Pelodiscus sinensis: one gene and its partner. The protein of the gene in region 2 binds, or shares a complex with, the protein of the main gene of each other region. Links are inferred from orthologs where the notes say so. Each region holds a gene or a part of one and is shown on either strand. Other genes may lie near its edges. The genes, in order: DR1 and KAT14.

Region 1 (7,641 bases), on a different chromosome or scaffold from region 2:
AAATGTAAGTGTTAATTATAAAAATCTAGAGGCGTATGATAGAAAGAGCAAACAAACCACAGTTTACTTATAAAAATCTGAGCATATTAGTGAAACATTTCTTTTAGTATGTTGATAATATAGTAGGCAAAGAAGTGACTGAAATTTGAATTTCAAAAAGCTTTTAATAGTCATTGTAGACAACTCAAAGATACTACTCAAAAAAAGCAAAATAAGTTTTAGTATATAAAATGGGATAGAACATATTTAACTCGCATACACCATATAAATCTTAAATAATTTTCTTTAAAATAGTGACATGATTCCTCAAAGCATGAGGGTTAATCTGACAGGAATTAGTACCATATGTATTTGTGAAGGATAATAAGGATAACAATGAAGGTACAAGCAGAATATAAAATACTATGAAAGGAACATCCTCCTTACCACATTTGACCATATAAATGGAAAAACATAAATGTTCATTTAAGAGAATCTGATTAACACTGACAACCTGGAATTCAAGAAGAACTTTATATAAAAAATTATGACTTTGAACACATTAGCAGTTAGTGTGTATAATATATATAACCTGAAAAAAACCTTTTAGGAGACAACACAGTGCAGATATAATCATTTCTTTTCGGCTTTCAATCACATACACATTTTCTGAACATCATTATTAGAAAAATAATCCATTACATGCAAACAAATGGACTAATCAGATGATGTTAGAGTGAAATCTGTACTAAGGACCATTTGTAATAGGCAACAGACTTTCATCACTCAATTATTTCTTCCCACTAACACTGTTTCCAATATAGTTTTGTTCTACTTTTCTTTAACCTAAGAACATGTGCTGATACTTTTGGTGGCATCTTTATCTATTTAACCAGCACATTTCATTTGCAATCACAGTCTGGGTTTTACTTTTTAAATTCTGAGCTTGAAAGTTTTTTTAAAAAATCAATTTTATTGCAATACATCATTTTCTTAAAATATTAACTAAAACAAAAGTTTAGATATGGTTCATATTTTCTTATACTGCTGCTTATGTCATCAAAACTAGGGATGTGAAAGGTTAACAGGTTCCAGTGCTCCAGGCTGGAGCAGTGCCCCACCTGCTGTGGGTAATGGGCTCCTTCATCCCTATGGGGCCCACTGCGGACAGAGGATGCTCCAATCATCTGGGCCAACCCTGGTCTGCGGTTGGCTGGGGGGGTGGTATAATGGCAGGCAGCAGGCCACTTAATCTCAGCCATAGGGGAAGGGGGAAGAGGAGGGACTTAATTGGTTAGCTAGTAAAATGTGAAGTAAACTTCACATTAAACCAGTTAGCCAATTACACAGGATTTTACACCCCCTAATCATAATCAGAACTTCAAAAATCCACTTACATATTGCAAATAGGAAACTTCTTCTTTTCTGCTGAGTGGAGTGAACATACCCCATCACAGTCTGCAGAATCTAATTAACTGAACATTTAGTGATAATTACAAAAACAACTTTCCATGTGATACAGACTAATAGTTAATTGTTTTCCTGACACTGATATTCTACTGCTTATGCCACTGTTCAGGGACCTGCCAAGCAGCTGAGTAAAACTAAAACTCTGGTCACTTTCACTACCATCTCCATTCACAAGTTTGTGGGCAGCAATGAAACTGTGAAGAACTGTGGTAGCTCTCTCAAGTATCTGAATAAAATGAAAATGATTCTTGACAGGAACAGCCCATGTGGCTTACAAGTCATTAGTTTAACTCTTGTTACTACTTGGGAAAGCTGTGAGCAGCAGTATTAAGCACTGATTCTATTCATAGTGAACAAACACCCAAAAATGAAAGCTAGTGAGTATATGCTATTCTGGTCTTCTCCAAAATCAGGAGGCTCAGATCCGGGAGAAAGAGAGAGAAAGCTTTTCCATCCAACAGCCACAGAAGGTAAGACACAACAACCAGAAGAGGGTGCAATGGCATATTTTAAAATGTACACACCTATTACATCAGAAACTGATGCAAAAGATGAAGCCACAAAACAAGACCAGGAGCAGGAGCAGATAGGAATCCCAGTATCTTCCTAGGTGATAGGCTTTTTAGTGCCAAGAGAATGGAACTCACCGCCCATCCCTAACCTTATATACAGCATCAACCTCTGGTTTACAGGTACTTAGTATTTTGTTTCTGTAAGAAACAGGGAAGTAATCTGCACAACCATGCTGCAAAAGTCTCTTTTCACAGGTATGGAAACTGAAGCACTTAAGTGACTCACCCGCAGTAGCACAAGAGAACATGGGCAGGAACTGACAACTCCTGCCTCCTTCACCACAAAAGTAGCCTTCCCATTTGCAATGCAAACTAGTAAGAAATGCCATAAATAATCTTACTCATGTTTTTTTAAAAATGACTTCTGCAGTACTTTTAGAAAAATCAACGTTAGGATCATAGACCTGAGGGAGGGCTCTGTGTTATGTGAAAGCTTGACTTTCTCACCAACAGTTGTTGGCCACATTACAAGTTATCTTACCCACCCTAGCTCGCTATAATCCTAAATTCTACAACATTAAACTAAATGGTCTGTCATCTACCAGATGACTGCCTTCTCTCCTCCCGCGTCCTCCAGGGATCTTACCTTGTATGACGTGCTCTGGGGAAATGGTTTTCTTCTCAGACTTGTTACAGATCTCATTGGCCTCCGAGGAGATGAGGTGGATGAATTCAGTGCAGCAGTTCACCACCAGCTCCCGGGCATCATTAGCCACCCGGACGTTGGGGAGAGTCTCTTTGATCATCTTGTTAATAGCAGCTCTAGGGATGGTGAGGTCGTCGTCGTTTCCCGAGGACGAGGCCATTGTATTTCAGTTCACACTCACTCTCCGAGCCCCTTTGAACTCACTTTTCAGATGCAAAGCAGGGCACGCGCTCTCCCGGCGGGGACCCGCCGCTCAGGGAGCCCCGGGGCGGTGCTGTCGGGGCAAGTGCCCGGGGGGGACACGAGCAGGTGCCGTGAGTCCGAGGACGGGAGCTGAGGGGACCGGACGCCGGGGAGAAGAGAAGGGGTCGGATTCGCGCCCGAAGGCGGGAGAGCGGGGGCCGGCTGCCAGCGCCCCAGAGCCGGTGCCAGGCGCTCGGCGGCAGCCGCGGGAGGCGCTGCCCGGAGTTCAGGGCTCCCTCGGCTACAGCCCCCGCCACATCCTTCACGCGCCGCCGCCGGGTAGCCGGGCCATGCTGGCCGCCGCCGCCGCGTGAAAAGGAGCCGAAGGAAGCCGCCCGGAAAGCCCGCGCCCGGCTCGGCTCGGCTCTGCGCTCACCCAGCGGCGGCCGCTCGCCCAGAACCGCGGCCGGCCGGGAGGGGGAAACGAGCCAACGCGGAGCAAAACCAACGAGCAGGGCCGCTTCCGCCGGAAACCGTTCTCTGACACTTCCGCTTCCGGGACCCCATGCCCCGGGTAGCGGAAACAGGTCGCCACGCTGAGGACCCTCTTCGCTCCGCGCGCCACCTGCCCCGACGGGCTTCGGAATCCGAAGGGGGCGGCCCCAGTTCCGCCTGTGCAGTAGCCTCGTGGCGCTGCTGAGCGCGCGGCCCCCGTCGCGGAGCCTGCCCTGGGCCGCGCACGTAGCCGCGTTACTCCGGCTGACGCGGGGTGTCGGTGCGGGGCCCGGGCCGCGAGGAAGGCCCTGGGGGAGCAGGCGGTCCCGCCGCCTTGTCTGCAGTGGGATTGTACCGTCCCAGTTACCCCTTCCACGCGAGCGCGCACGTGCTCACCCAGCCCGCCTTCACCCGCTGTGGCTGCAGCGTGGCGGGCAGAGCCTTCGCTTCCCCCGCCCGGCTCTGCAGCCTGGGCTGAAAGCCAGGTGGCGATCAGCCCAGGCTGTGGGGGAATTAATTATTTTATCTGTACGTGCTCTAAGTGTCGCTAGGTTGGACAAGGAAGCGGATCCAGGTGGTGTGGGGGCTACATAGGCGCATCTTTACTTATTAACAGTGCCCCAATTCGGGGTCCCCTGCTTCCCTAGCGGCAGGGTCATCCCCATGGAGGAAACGGTCTGATCATTTTTCATTGCACTTCAGTGTTGAGATCAGACTGTGAGCCAAGTGTAGGTGGTCGATACTCTCAAGCAGAGTTTGCTGTTGCTGGTACTTTATCATTAACAGTTTAATTTGGCTGTTATTTTTCCTGACTTATGAAACTGTCTTTCAAAATAAATTAAATCCTCTTCAGAATAACAGTCTTTTTAATGTCTAGATTAGTAGTTTCAAAGGCTGTAGTTTGAAGCAACACCCAGGGAAATTGTAAGCAGCACATTTAAGTTTGGATCATCTGCTACAGTGTAAATTTATATTGGTGGTTTGATTGGAGTTCTGCTTTTAATCCCAATGTGATACCATTAGCTATTCTTTAGTTTAGGTCTGCTGTGTCAGCACACAGGAGGGAGTTTTTCCATCCTATAATGTCTGATGTATTGCTTAGAAACAGTTAGTTAGGACAGGCTATTGTGGAATAACTTCCTAGATGACAAGTCTTTAACTGCAGATCTGATGCTAAACATAAGTTAGGTAAACACCATAATTTAAAAAAAAAAAAAAGCCTTCCTAGAGTGAACATACATGATATAATTTCCCCCTATATCCTTGCCAAGTGTTAGAAGTAATTGTGTGGACATCAGTACAACAATATTTAGCATAGACTATTTGAACAACTCAGAGCAGCTTTTCCTGGAACTGACAAGGGGAGAAGAAATTCTTGATTTTGTTTTAATTGAAATACAGGGGCTGGATCAAGAGGTGACTATAACGGAATCCCTAGATAATAGCATTAATGTAATTAAATTAACATGGTTGTAGGGGGAAAAATGCTAAAGGAGCTCACCACCGTAGCATTTAACTTCAAAAAGGGGAACTACACAAAAATGAGGAAACAGTTAAATGGAAATAAAAAGGAACAGTCACAAGGGCAAAATGCCTGCACTGTATGGAAGCTATTAAAAACACCATAATAGTGGCTCAGATTAAATGCATATCCCAGACCAAAAAAAATTCAACCACAGTCAAAGAGCAGAGGAAAAGAGATTCCAAAGACAACCTTTAAAAATTAAAAGTCCAATCCCATTGAGGAAAATAGGAACTCTGGTAAGTCAAGTGTAAAACTATAATTGAGCAAGCCAAGAAAGAATCTGAAGAGCAGTTAGTTAAACACACAAAAACTAACAGTGTTTCTTGTAAGTACATCAGAAGAAGGAAGCCTGCCAAGCAGTGACACCACTGGATAACTGAGTTGCTAATGGAGCACTCAAAATAAGGTTTTTGCAGAAAAGCTAAATGAATTCTTTGCATCAGTCTTCACTACAGAGGATATAGGGCAGTCAGACATCCAAGCCATTCTTTGGAAGACAAATCAGAAAAATGGTTTCATATTGAAATTCATTAAACAGTAACAAGGTATTAAGACCAAATAGTATTCACTCAAGAATTCCAAAAGAACTCATACATGACATTATAGAACTACTAATTGTGGTTTGCAAACTATCACTTAAATTAGCTTAAACAACAAATGATCCAGTAGCACCTTAGGGTATGTCTACACTGCAAAATTAATTCGAAATAACAGCCGTTTACATGCAAACCGCTATTTTGAAATTATTTCGAAATAGCGGAGCGCTTAATTCGAATTTGGTAAACCTCATTCTACAAGGAGTAATGCCAAATTCAAAATAGCTATTTCGAATTAAGTGCTGTGTAGACACTTAATTCGAAATAGAGGACTTCCAGCCTTTTCCAGGGAGCCCTGATGGCCACTCTGGGCACAACCAGGAAAACTTACTCTCCTCTCCCCCCAACCCCGGAGCCATTAAAGGGGTAGACCCTGGCCACAGTGCCTGTGCCAGCTCCAAGCCTGCCAGCTCAGAGCCAGCAGTAGCCACCGGGGCCACTGACTCAGTGACCCCAAAACATGAGCTAGCAAGCCACTGGCAGCCAGCCCTCCACCACTCCCCAAGAGCAGTCCGCCAGCTCCCAGGAGCCTGAAGGGCTGGAGGAGGCGGGCCCCTTCCTGGTCCAGAGTGGAGATCATGGACCTTATTCAGGTTTGGGGAGGTGAGGAGGATGCCCCCAACCCATGATCTCCACACTAAATGGAGGAATGAGGCTGTCTATGGTAGGATAGCTGCCAGCCTGGCCACATGTCAACCCAGGAGCAGGTTTGTATGAAACTCAAGTTGGTGCAGCGAGACCCCCAACCCTGGGCCCTGAGCTTCCTCTCCCCCTTCTTCCCCTTCCTTCCCCCTTACAGCTCTTTCCTCCCATGTTTCCCCCTCCCCTTTCTTCCCCTCTCCCACCTTTTCCCGGTCTCCCCAGAGGTTCATCTCCCCCACCCCTCGTTTTGTTCAGTAAACCCAGTTTCTATTTTTGAACATATGTGTTTTATTTTACATCAGGAAGGGAGGGTAGGGAGGGGTAAGTGGAAGGATATGAGGGAGGAACGGGACATGAGCCCCCGGTGGGGAGGACCAGGGTGGCTCTGAAGGCTCCTTGAGGTGGACGTTCTCCCGCAGGGCCTCCTGGATCCTAACAGCATGCAGCAAGTGCAGCCGGGCTGATGGCAACAACCCCACGAGATGCACCAGCATACCCAGGGGCAGCTCTGGCTCCATGTGGCCAAGTGCTGTGATGTCCTGAGTATGGGCACTCAGGGCACTCCAATTGGGGTACGTCTAGACTACAGGCTTTCATCGACAGAAGTGGACTTTTGTCGACAAAACTATACCTGCATCTACACTATCGCTGAGTTCTGTCGACATAACGTCGAAGTTTTGTCGACTGGTAAACCTCATTTTACGAAGCATAATGCCTTTTGTCGATAGAGTTTCTGTCGACAGAAGGTGTTACTGCATGTAAACTGTCCTTTGCGTCCACACTACCATGTTGACAAAGCAGCTTGCTTTGTCGACAGAACTGAATGTAGTGTAGATGCTCTTTGTCGACAGAAGTTTTGTCGACAGTATCTGTCGACAAAACTTCTGTCGACAAAAGCCTGTAGTCTAGACGTACGCCAAGACAGGTCTGCTTTGCTGTCCCTCATCGAGGTAGACAAGCAAGCGGGGAACTCTGAGAATTGTCTGTCTGGGGTAGGGTCCCTTTAAGTTCAGAGCTTAGTTAGCCTCAGGCAGCAGCCCCATGCACTAAGTCCTAACCTGATGCCCTGCCGGCACTGGTTCCAGCTAGCCTTAACTTCGGTTCACGGTCCACTCACTGTGGACGTGCTATTTCGAAATAGCAAAATGCTATTTCAAAATAGATTTTGTGTGTAGATGCGTTAATTCGAATTAGCTTAATTCGAATTAACTATTTTGAATTAAGATAATTCGAAATAATGCTGTAGTGTAGACACCCTTAGAGACTAACAAAAAATATAGATAGTATAATGAGCTGTTGTGGGCACAACCCACTTCTTTGAAAGCTCATGATACTATCTATATTTTTTGGTTAGTCTCTAAGATGCTAAAACAGAATTTGTCTAATTTTTTTGTCGTTACAGACTAAAACAGCTAACCCTCTGAGACTTTAAATTAGCTTGTATACCATATGAATATAGGGTAGCTAGCATGATGCCTGTTTCTAGGAAATAAGCCTACTTCCCAACTAGGCAAATTAGTTGGAACTATATCA
Region 2 (7,722 bases):
ACGACGACACGATGACAGCGGGGAACTGGCAGCACTTCCGCCTTTGGAATGTAGCAAGAGCAGGGCTCTTGATGCACTTCAAAAGCAGAAGCACCACGGGGCCAGCGGGGGACTCAAGCAGTCTCTGGCTGGCCCTGTGCTCCCTGCTCTGGAAATGTACAAGAGCCCAGGGGGTTCTATTAAATTCCTGCAAATTCCATCGACTATTCAATTTGTTGATTAATCTAAATTTGACATCCCTAGTTGCAGGACCTGAGAGTCCTGGTGGAGGGCCAGCACTAAGGATCCCTGTGGGGCAAGCAGGGCAGTGGGCTGCCTGCAGGTAGCTGATGGGGGGGGGGCTGCCCAAAGCGTGGTAGTGGGGCTGCCCAACAGAGTTGGGAGACCCGGCAGGTGACTGCCCAGTGGGGCTGGGAGCCCGGCGCACACATGGCTGCTCAATCACACAACACGCAGGGCTGCTCACGGAGCCCTGGTGTGGCGCACGTGGCTGCCCGGACCCCAGCCCAGCGCTAGGTGGCCCGGTGGAGCCCCAGCAGCAATGGTTGCCCAGCAAGTTGGCAGGGCAGCGGGGCCAGCAGAAGGTGGGGAGCTAGGAGGCTAGCGGCCAGGCCAGGGGGCCAGTGGCAGGGGTCCAAAATTGACCTCCTTAGGTCTGGCAAAATCTCTCATCTGGGACCGGTCAGGTCCCAAAGGTGCTGGACCAGGGAAGTCCAACCTGAACTGGCTTTATATTGTTCTGTGAATACTAATCTTAAATTCAGGATACCATGGAACCATTCTTATATACAGAAGACTGAAATCTATTTACACAGCCCACTGAAATGGCAAACCAATCAGGAAAATAATAATAGTTCTTATGTAGCACCTTTCCTTACAAAGGAACTGGCATTATCCCTGTTTTACAGATTGGGAAACGTAGGGTATGTCTACACTACAGCGCTAATTCGAACTAACTTAGTTTGAATTAGTTAATTCAGACTAAAAAACTAGTTTGAATTAGCGTTTTGCTAATTCGAACTAGCATGTCCACATTAAGTGGACCCTGAACCGGGGTTAAGGATGGCCGGAAGCAGTGCCGGCAGGGCATCAGATGAGGACTTAGAGCGTGGAGCTGCTGCCTCAGGCTAGCCAAGGGCTGTGCTTAAAGGGACCCGACCCCCACCCCGGACAGACAGTTCTCAGGGGTACCCCGCTTGCAAAGCAGTCCTGTCTTGGAGTGCCCTGAGTGCCCACACCGGGCACATCACAGCACTCGGCCATCAGACCGGCTGCACTTGCCGCAGGCTGCCATCTGAGGAGAGGGGGCAATTGGGGGCCTGCAGGAGAGCTTCCACCCACAGAAGCCCACAGAGCCAGCCCAGTCCTCCCCATTGGGGGCTCGTACCCCATTCCTCCCTCACCTCCTTCCACTTACCCTTCCCTAGCCCCCCTTCCTGATGTACAAAATAAAGAAAACGTGTGGTCAAAAATAGAATCTCTCTTTATTGAACAAAACTCGGGGAGATTGGGAAAAGGAGGTGGGAGAGGGGAAGAGAGAGGGTGGGAGAGGGGAGGGCAACTACAATGATGAGAGGTTTGGAAGAGGTCCCATATGAAGAGAGGCTAAAGAGACTGGGACTTTTCAGCTTAGAAAAGAGGAGACTGAGGGGGGGATAGGATAGAGGTCTATAAAAGCATGAGTGGGGTGGAGAGGGTGCATCAAGAAAAGTTCTTCATTAGTTCCCATAATAGAAGGACTAGAGGACACCAAAGGAAAGGAATGGGTAGCAGGCTTCAAACTAGTAACAGAAAGTTGTTCTTCACAAAGCAAAGAGTCAACCTGTGGAACTCCTTGCTGCAGGAGGCTGTGAAGGCTAGAACTAGAACAGAGTTTAAAGAGAAGTGAGATCAAGTCATGGAGGTTGGGTCGATGGAGTGGTATTAGCCAAGGGGTAGGAGTGGTGTCCCTGCCCAAAGTTTGTGGAAGGCTGGAGATGGATGGCACGAGACAAATGGCTTGGTCACTGTCTTCGGTCCATCCCCTCCAGGGTCCCTAGGGTTGGCCGCTGTCGGCAGACAGGCTACTGGGCTAGATGGACCTTTGGTCTGACCCAGGACGGCCATTGTAAGCTCAGGACTCAGGGTCGGGGGGTCTCAGTGGACCACCTTGATTTTCATGCACACCTGCTCCTGGGTGGCCAGGCTGGCAGCTCTCCTGCCCTAGACGGCCACTTTCCTGTGCCTAGTGCGGAGGTCGTGGACGAGTTCCACGATATCCGCACTAGACCAGGCGGGTGCCCGCCTCTTGCGGTCCCGGGCAAGCTCCCGGGAGCCGCCAGCCTGGTCCCGGGAAGAGGCGGAGGGCTGGGGGGCATCGGGTGGCTGGCTCGAGCCGTGCCAGGTGCAGGGTCTGCTAGCTGGGTGCTGGCAGGCTTGTACCTGGCACGGGCACCGTAGCCAGCCCGTGCCCCTTTAAGGGGTCCGGGGCCGGGAGGGGGGCAGACAAGTTTCCCTGGTGGTGCCCAGAGTGGCCACCAGGGAAAGCTGGGGAGGGCTAGCCTCCCACTAGTTTGAATTAAGGGGCTACACACCCCTTAATTCGAACTAGTAAGTTCGAACTAGGCTTAGTCCTCGTAGAATGAGGTTTACCTAGTTCGAACTAAGCGCTCCGCTAGTTCGAATTAAGTTCGAACTAGCGGAGCGCTAGTGTAGCGCCTATCAAAGTTAATTCGAACTAACGTCCGTTAGTTCGAATTAACTTTGTAGTGTAGACATACCCTGAGAGATTGAAAGGGGAACTGACAGACACAGGCACAGCAGACCAGTGGCAGAGCTGGGAATATAATCTAGGTCTCCTGATCCCTAGTCTGGTGCTCTATCTACTACACATCACTGCCTCCCATACGTTCAGGAAAATAATATGATTTTTTTTCTCTGAGGAAAAGAACAAATAAACCCACAAAACGCAAGAGATGGAGATAACAGAGGAAATCTTGACTCTTACTTGCTGGTATCCACTTCTGACACTTTTCACAGTAATAGGACATCTCCTCCATCCAGGATGCATCCCCCTCATCACTGTTCAAGGAGTCCCCACTCTGATCGTGGGATAAATCCACTGAAGCCTGATCCTCAGACTCAACAATCAGGAGAGTCTCTCCTTCCACCTCACCCTCCTCCAGCCCTTCTGAAGTTGATGTCCTTGTAGCTTCGTCATCGTGCCGACTCATCAGTCCACTCATGTGAACGTTATTATCCATCCCTTCTTGGCAAGCAGAGGAAGGGATTTTTTTACATTACATGGGGCTCTCCCTCCAGCATTTAAAATACCACCCATATAAGGTGAGCCAGCCAGGTATGAAGCCTTCTACACTATATTTCTGCTCACATGAAAATATTCAAGTTAGAGAATAATTCTGCGTACACACTTCTTAATGTATATAATTTCCTAGACTTGATGACTAGGTAGCTAAAGGTGATGGAAGTAGCTTCCGTTTCCTGAAACACCTAGGAACACTCAAACACAAATCCCTGCTGTCCTTCAGTCCCAACTCTAAAACTTCATGTTTAAGTCTAGGATTGTTGGGACTCTTTTTCCATTAACATCTTGTGTCTCTCTGCTTCAAGTTGCTTGGTCAGAGTAATCTGTTCTTGTAAAAGGCGAATATTTTCCAGTTTACGGCTTTGTCTCTCAAGGTCTCTGACAACTCCTTCGTGCAGCCTCTGAAAATACAAGAGACATGGTTCATTATAGTCGATTGCATGGAACTAACACCCCTTTGCATTCCAACCTCTGTCACAGCACTGCCAAATATATAACTGTTACAAACTTTCAATTCTCTGTTCAAGACACAAGCTACTTTTCGAGTTTAAAATGACTAGAACGGAGCTCTGATAGGTGGATGTTGATAACTACTGGTAACATGCTAGGAAAACTATATTTGTTGGTTCAGCTACATAATCTTCCTATAATGATAAAGTGTTAGACAACTGTAAATATTGTATATTGATCATTTCTACAGTATTACGGAGAGACAGCAATATATCTGTCGAAGATTATGACTTCTCCCCCATCCTTATCAGAATTCAACTAATCTGCCTGAAATATCTCAACTTGTGATCCTCTGCTTGAGCAGAATTAACAGACATTAACATAGACAACATGGAGACTACATTAAAAAAATGAATTAAATGTAAAAGGATTATAACTGAAAGAGAAAAAGTTTTTCCACTTGGTTTATTTTGTGCACTTGACAGCATTTTGTTCTTAATACCTTGAATCCATGCAGAGATCCAAGAATTCAGTGGAGATTCCAATGCATAGGGATCCACTAACGCAGAACTCACTGTGCTTTATATATAGTTAATTTAGCTGTTTCTTCTGTATAGGCAGACCTTGTTCCTGAAACTGGATCCCCACAAGTAGGTCCAACTACTGAATCTGGGCTTTTGTCAATTTCCCTTTTTGTTTATGGGTATTTCGTGTGGGTAATTTGTACAAACAATAGAGGAAAGAAAGGCATATTGAAAACAAGAAAATACATCTGCAAAACTGCAAACATTGATAAAGGAACTATGGGGTAGGAGTGATACTTGAAACTGCTTCTAATTCCTTTGAGATTGACTAGATTTCAAGATGAAGGTGGCACCTTTAACAGAAGATATTAAAATATGACATTTGATTAGGGAAACACATGAAATAGTTGCATAGAAACCAATACTAGAAGAAGCACAGGGTTCTGTCCACATGGATCCAACTGCAGGACCAGGCCCATATTTTGTTACTACCTATGGTCTTGATCCTTTCAAAACTTATAGGTCTGCCTAAATAACTAATTGATATGTGTAAAGCATAAATCTTTGCATGATCAGGATTCATATGTATTCATAGGCACTACAACTGCTGACTGGATGAATGCTGGAAAAAATAATTTATGAATAAATTAATAGCCAAAAAGGTAAATACTTTATTTGATTAATCTGATATTATATAGGCAGGCTTAATAGATCTGAAAATGCATTTGCAAATCATTCATTTTAAAAATTGACCTCAAAAAATAAAATAAACTTTCTAATAGGAAGAGGCATCGCTTCTCACCCAGAAACCAAGTACGTACGCATTTTGAGGGAAATAATGTGTCCCATCTGAATCATGAAGAAAAAATATTTTGTGCAAGAAATATTTTAATCTTGTTTTCAAAAATTATGGAGGCAGACAAAATACATTTCACCCAAAAATGTCAAAATCTCTCTGGAAATTAATTTTATGGGAACAGTTCTTTCCTATCAGTTTCAGTCAATTTAATTCCGATTATAAAATTACTACTGTCCTGATAAACTATTACTTTAGTAGTATAATGAAATGTACTACCATACTATATATACAGAAAAAATGTAGAGATTTTTATGAATGCAGGTTTCAAGCATGTCTCTTGATCCAATAAAATACACTCTTATAACCTACCAGGCTATGCTTTCATTCACTTTAGAGCTATAGTTATATATGTATTTTGCAAAAAATCTTTATGTTTTGTCCCAAATGACAGAGGACATCCTTCAGTACCATCAAAATACATACAAGCAGACTTAGGTGTGGTGTGGTCTATACACATAAGTTGCAACAGTTTGATTTTTTTATATCAGTTTAGGTTCAGTGGTTTTCAAACTATAGGGCGGGACCCTATAGTGGGTCACAATCCCATTTTAATGGGCTTGCCAGGGTTGGCTTAGGTTTGCTGAAGTCTGGAGCTGAAGCCAAAACCAAGTACCACTGCCCTGGCAGAGAGATCAGGTTATAGACCTCCTACCTGGAGCTGAAGCCCTCAGGCTTCAGCTTTGGTCCCATTTGGAGCAGTGGGGTTTGGAAGGACTCAGGCTTTGGTTCCCCCCTCCTGGAATTGTGTAGAAATGCTTGTTGTCAGAAGGGGGTCATGATGCAATGAAGAATAGTGATAGAAATGTAGAGAACCCCGATTTCGTTAAACTGGCACAAGCTTAAATTCACTTGGCTTCTCTCAAATTAGTTCATGAAGGCCAAAAGTTTCTTAAATTGACATAAGCCCGATGTGAACTAATTTAAAAGTGTCCATATTAGAGGTCTGCATTAATTTAACTAAATTCAATTTTTAAACAATTTAGATAAACTGGTGCACTTTTGAGCACAGACAAAGCAATAGTTAACACTGATTATCAGATATCAGAGGGGTAGCTGTGTTAGTCTGGATCTGTAAAAGCAACAAGGAGTCCAGCGGCACCTTACAGACTAACAGATGTATTGGAGCATAAGCTTTCGTGGGCAAAGACCCACTTCGTCAGATGCATGTAGTGGAAATTTCCAGAGGCAGGTATAAATATGCAGGCCAGAATAAGGCTAGAGGTAACGAGGTTATTTCAGTCAGGAAGTGCGAGGCCCACTTCTAGTAGCTGATATGGAGGAGTGAACACCAAGAGAGGAGAAACTGCTTTTGTACTTGGTTAGCCATTCACAGTCTTTGTTTAATCCTGAACCGATGGTGTCAAATTTGCAGATGAACTGTAGCTCAGCGGTTTCTCTTTGAAGTCTGGTCTTGAAGTTTTTTTGCTGCAGGATGGCTACCTTTAAATCTGTTACTGTGTGTCCAGGGAGATTGAAGTGTTCTCCTACAGGTTTTTGTATATTGCCATTCCTAATATCTAATCCCACGCATACATGGAACACAAGCTGTCAGGAACAGTATCCCTGATGATGCCACAGCACAGCTGGTGGCTGAACTCCGTGACTTTATCCTCACACACAACTATTTCAGATTCGGTGACAATATATACCTCCAAACCAGTGGCACCATGATGGACACCCGCATGGCCCCACAATATGCCAACATTTTTATGGCTGACCTGGAACAACGCTTCCTCAGCTCTCGTCCACTAATGCCCCTTCTCTACCTATGCTACATTGATGACATCTTCATCATCTGGACCCATGGGAAGGAGACTCTGGAAGAATTCCACCATGCTTTCAACATCTTCCACCCCACCATCAACCTCAGCCTGGACCAGTCTACACAAGAGATCCACTTCCTGGACACCACAGTGCACATAAGTGACCGTCACATAAACACCACCCTATACCGAAAACCTACTAACCGCTATGCCTACCTTCATGCCTCCAGCTTCCATCCCAGACACACCACACAATCCATTGTCTACAGCCAAGCACTAAGGTACAACCGCATCTGCTCCAACCCCTCAGACAGAGACCAATACCTACAAGATCTCCACCAAGCATTCTTGAAACTACGATACTCACACAAGGAATTGAGGAAACAGATAAACAGAGCCAGCCATGTACCCAGAAGCCTCCTACTACAAGACAAGCCCAAGAAAGAAACTAACAGAACACTACTGGCCATCACCTACAGTCTTCAGCTAAAATCTCTACAACGCATCATCAGTGATCTATAACCCATCCTGGACAATGATCCCTCACTTTCACAGGCCTTGGGAGGCAAGTCAGTCCTCGCAAATTCTCACCAGCAACTATACACTGCACCACAGTAACTCTAACTCAGGAACCAATCCATGCAACAAACCTCAGTGCCAACTCTGCCCTCATATCTATACCAGTGACACCATCACAGGACCTAACCAGATCAGCCACACCATCACTGGTTCATTCACCTGCACATCTACCAATATAATATACGCTGTCATGTACGAGCAATGCCCCTCTGCTATATACATCGGCCAAACTGGACAGTCCCT

Evidence for each region.
Region 1: KAT14 (region 2) and DR1 share a complex: the UniProt entries of both Homo sapiens proteins name them as parts of the ADA2A-containing complex. The link is inferred for Pelodiscus sinensis from reciprocal best matches to the Homo sapiens genes KAT14 and DR1.

Annotation. Positions count from the first base shown.
Region 1 is NC_134719.1:34,923,575-34,931,215, reverse strand, and holds the start of DR1 (protein Dr1), read right to left. Parts: upstream 3,347-7,641; 5' UTR 2,828-3,346; coding exon 2,608-2,827; intron 1-2,607. UniProt on the Homo sapiens protein: The association of the DR1/DRAP1 heterodimer with TBP results in a functional repression of both activated and basal transcription of class II genes.
Region 2 is NC_134713.1:193,861,732-193,869,453, reverse strand, and holds the start of KAT14 (cysteine-rich protein 2-binding protein), read right to left. Parts: upstream 3,243-7,722; coding exon 2,987-3,242; intron 1-2,986. Other genes in the region: protein PET117 homolog, mitochondrial, read right to left, coding at 3,556-3,705. UniProt on the Homo sapiens protein: Component of the ATAC complex, a complex with histone acetyltransferase activity on histones H3 and H4. May function as a scaffold for the ATAC complex to promote ATAC complex stability. Has also weak histone acetyltransferase activity toward histone H4.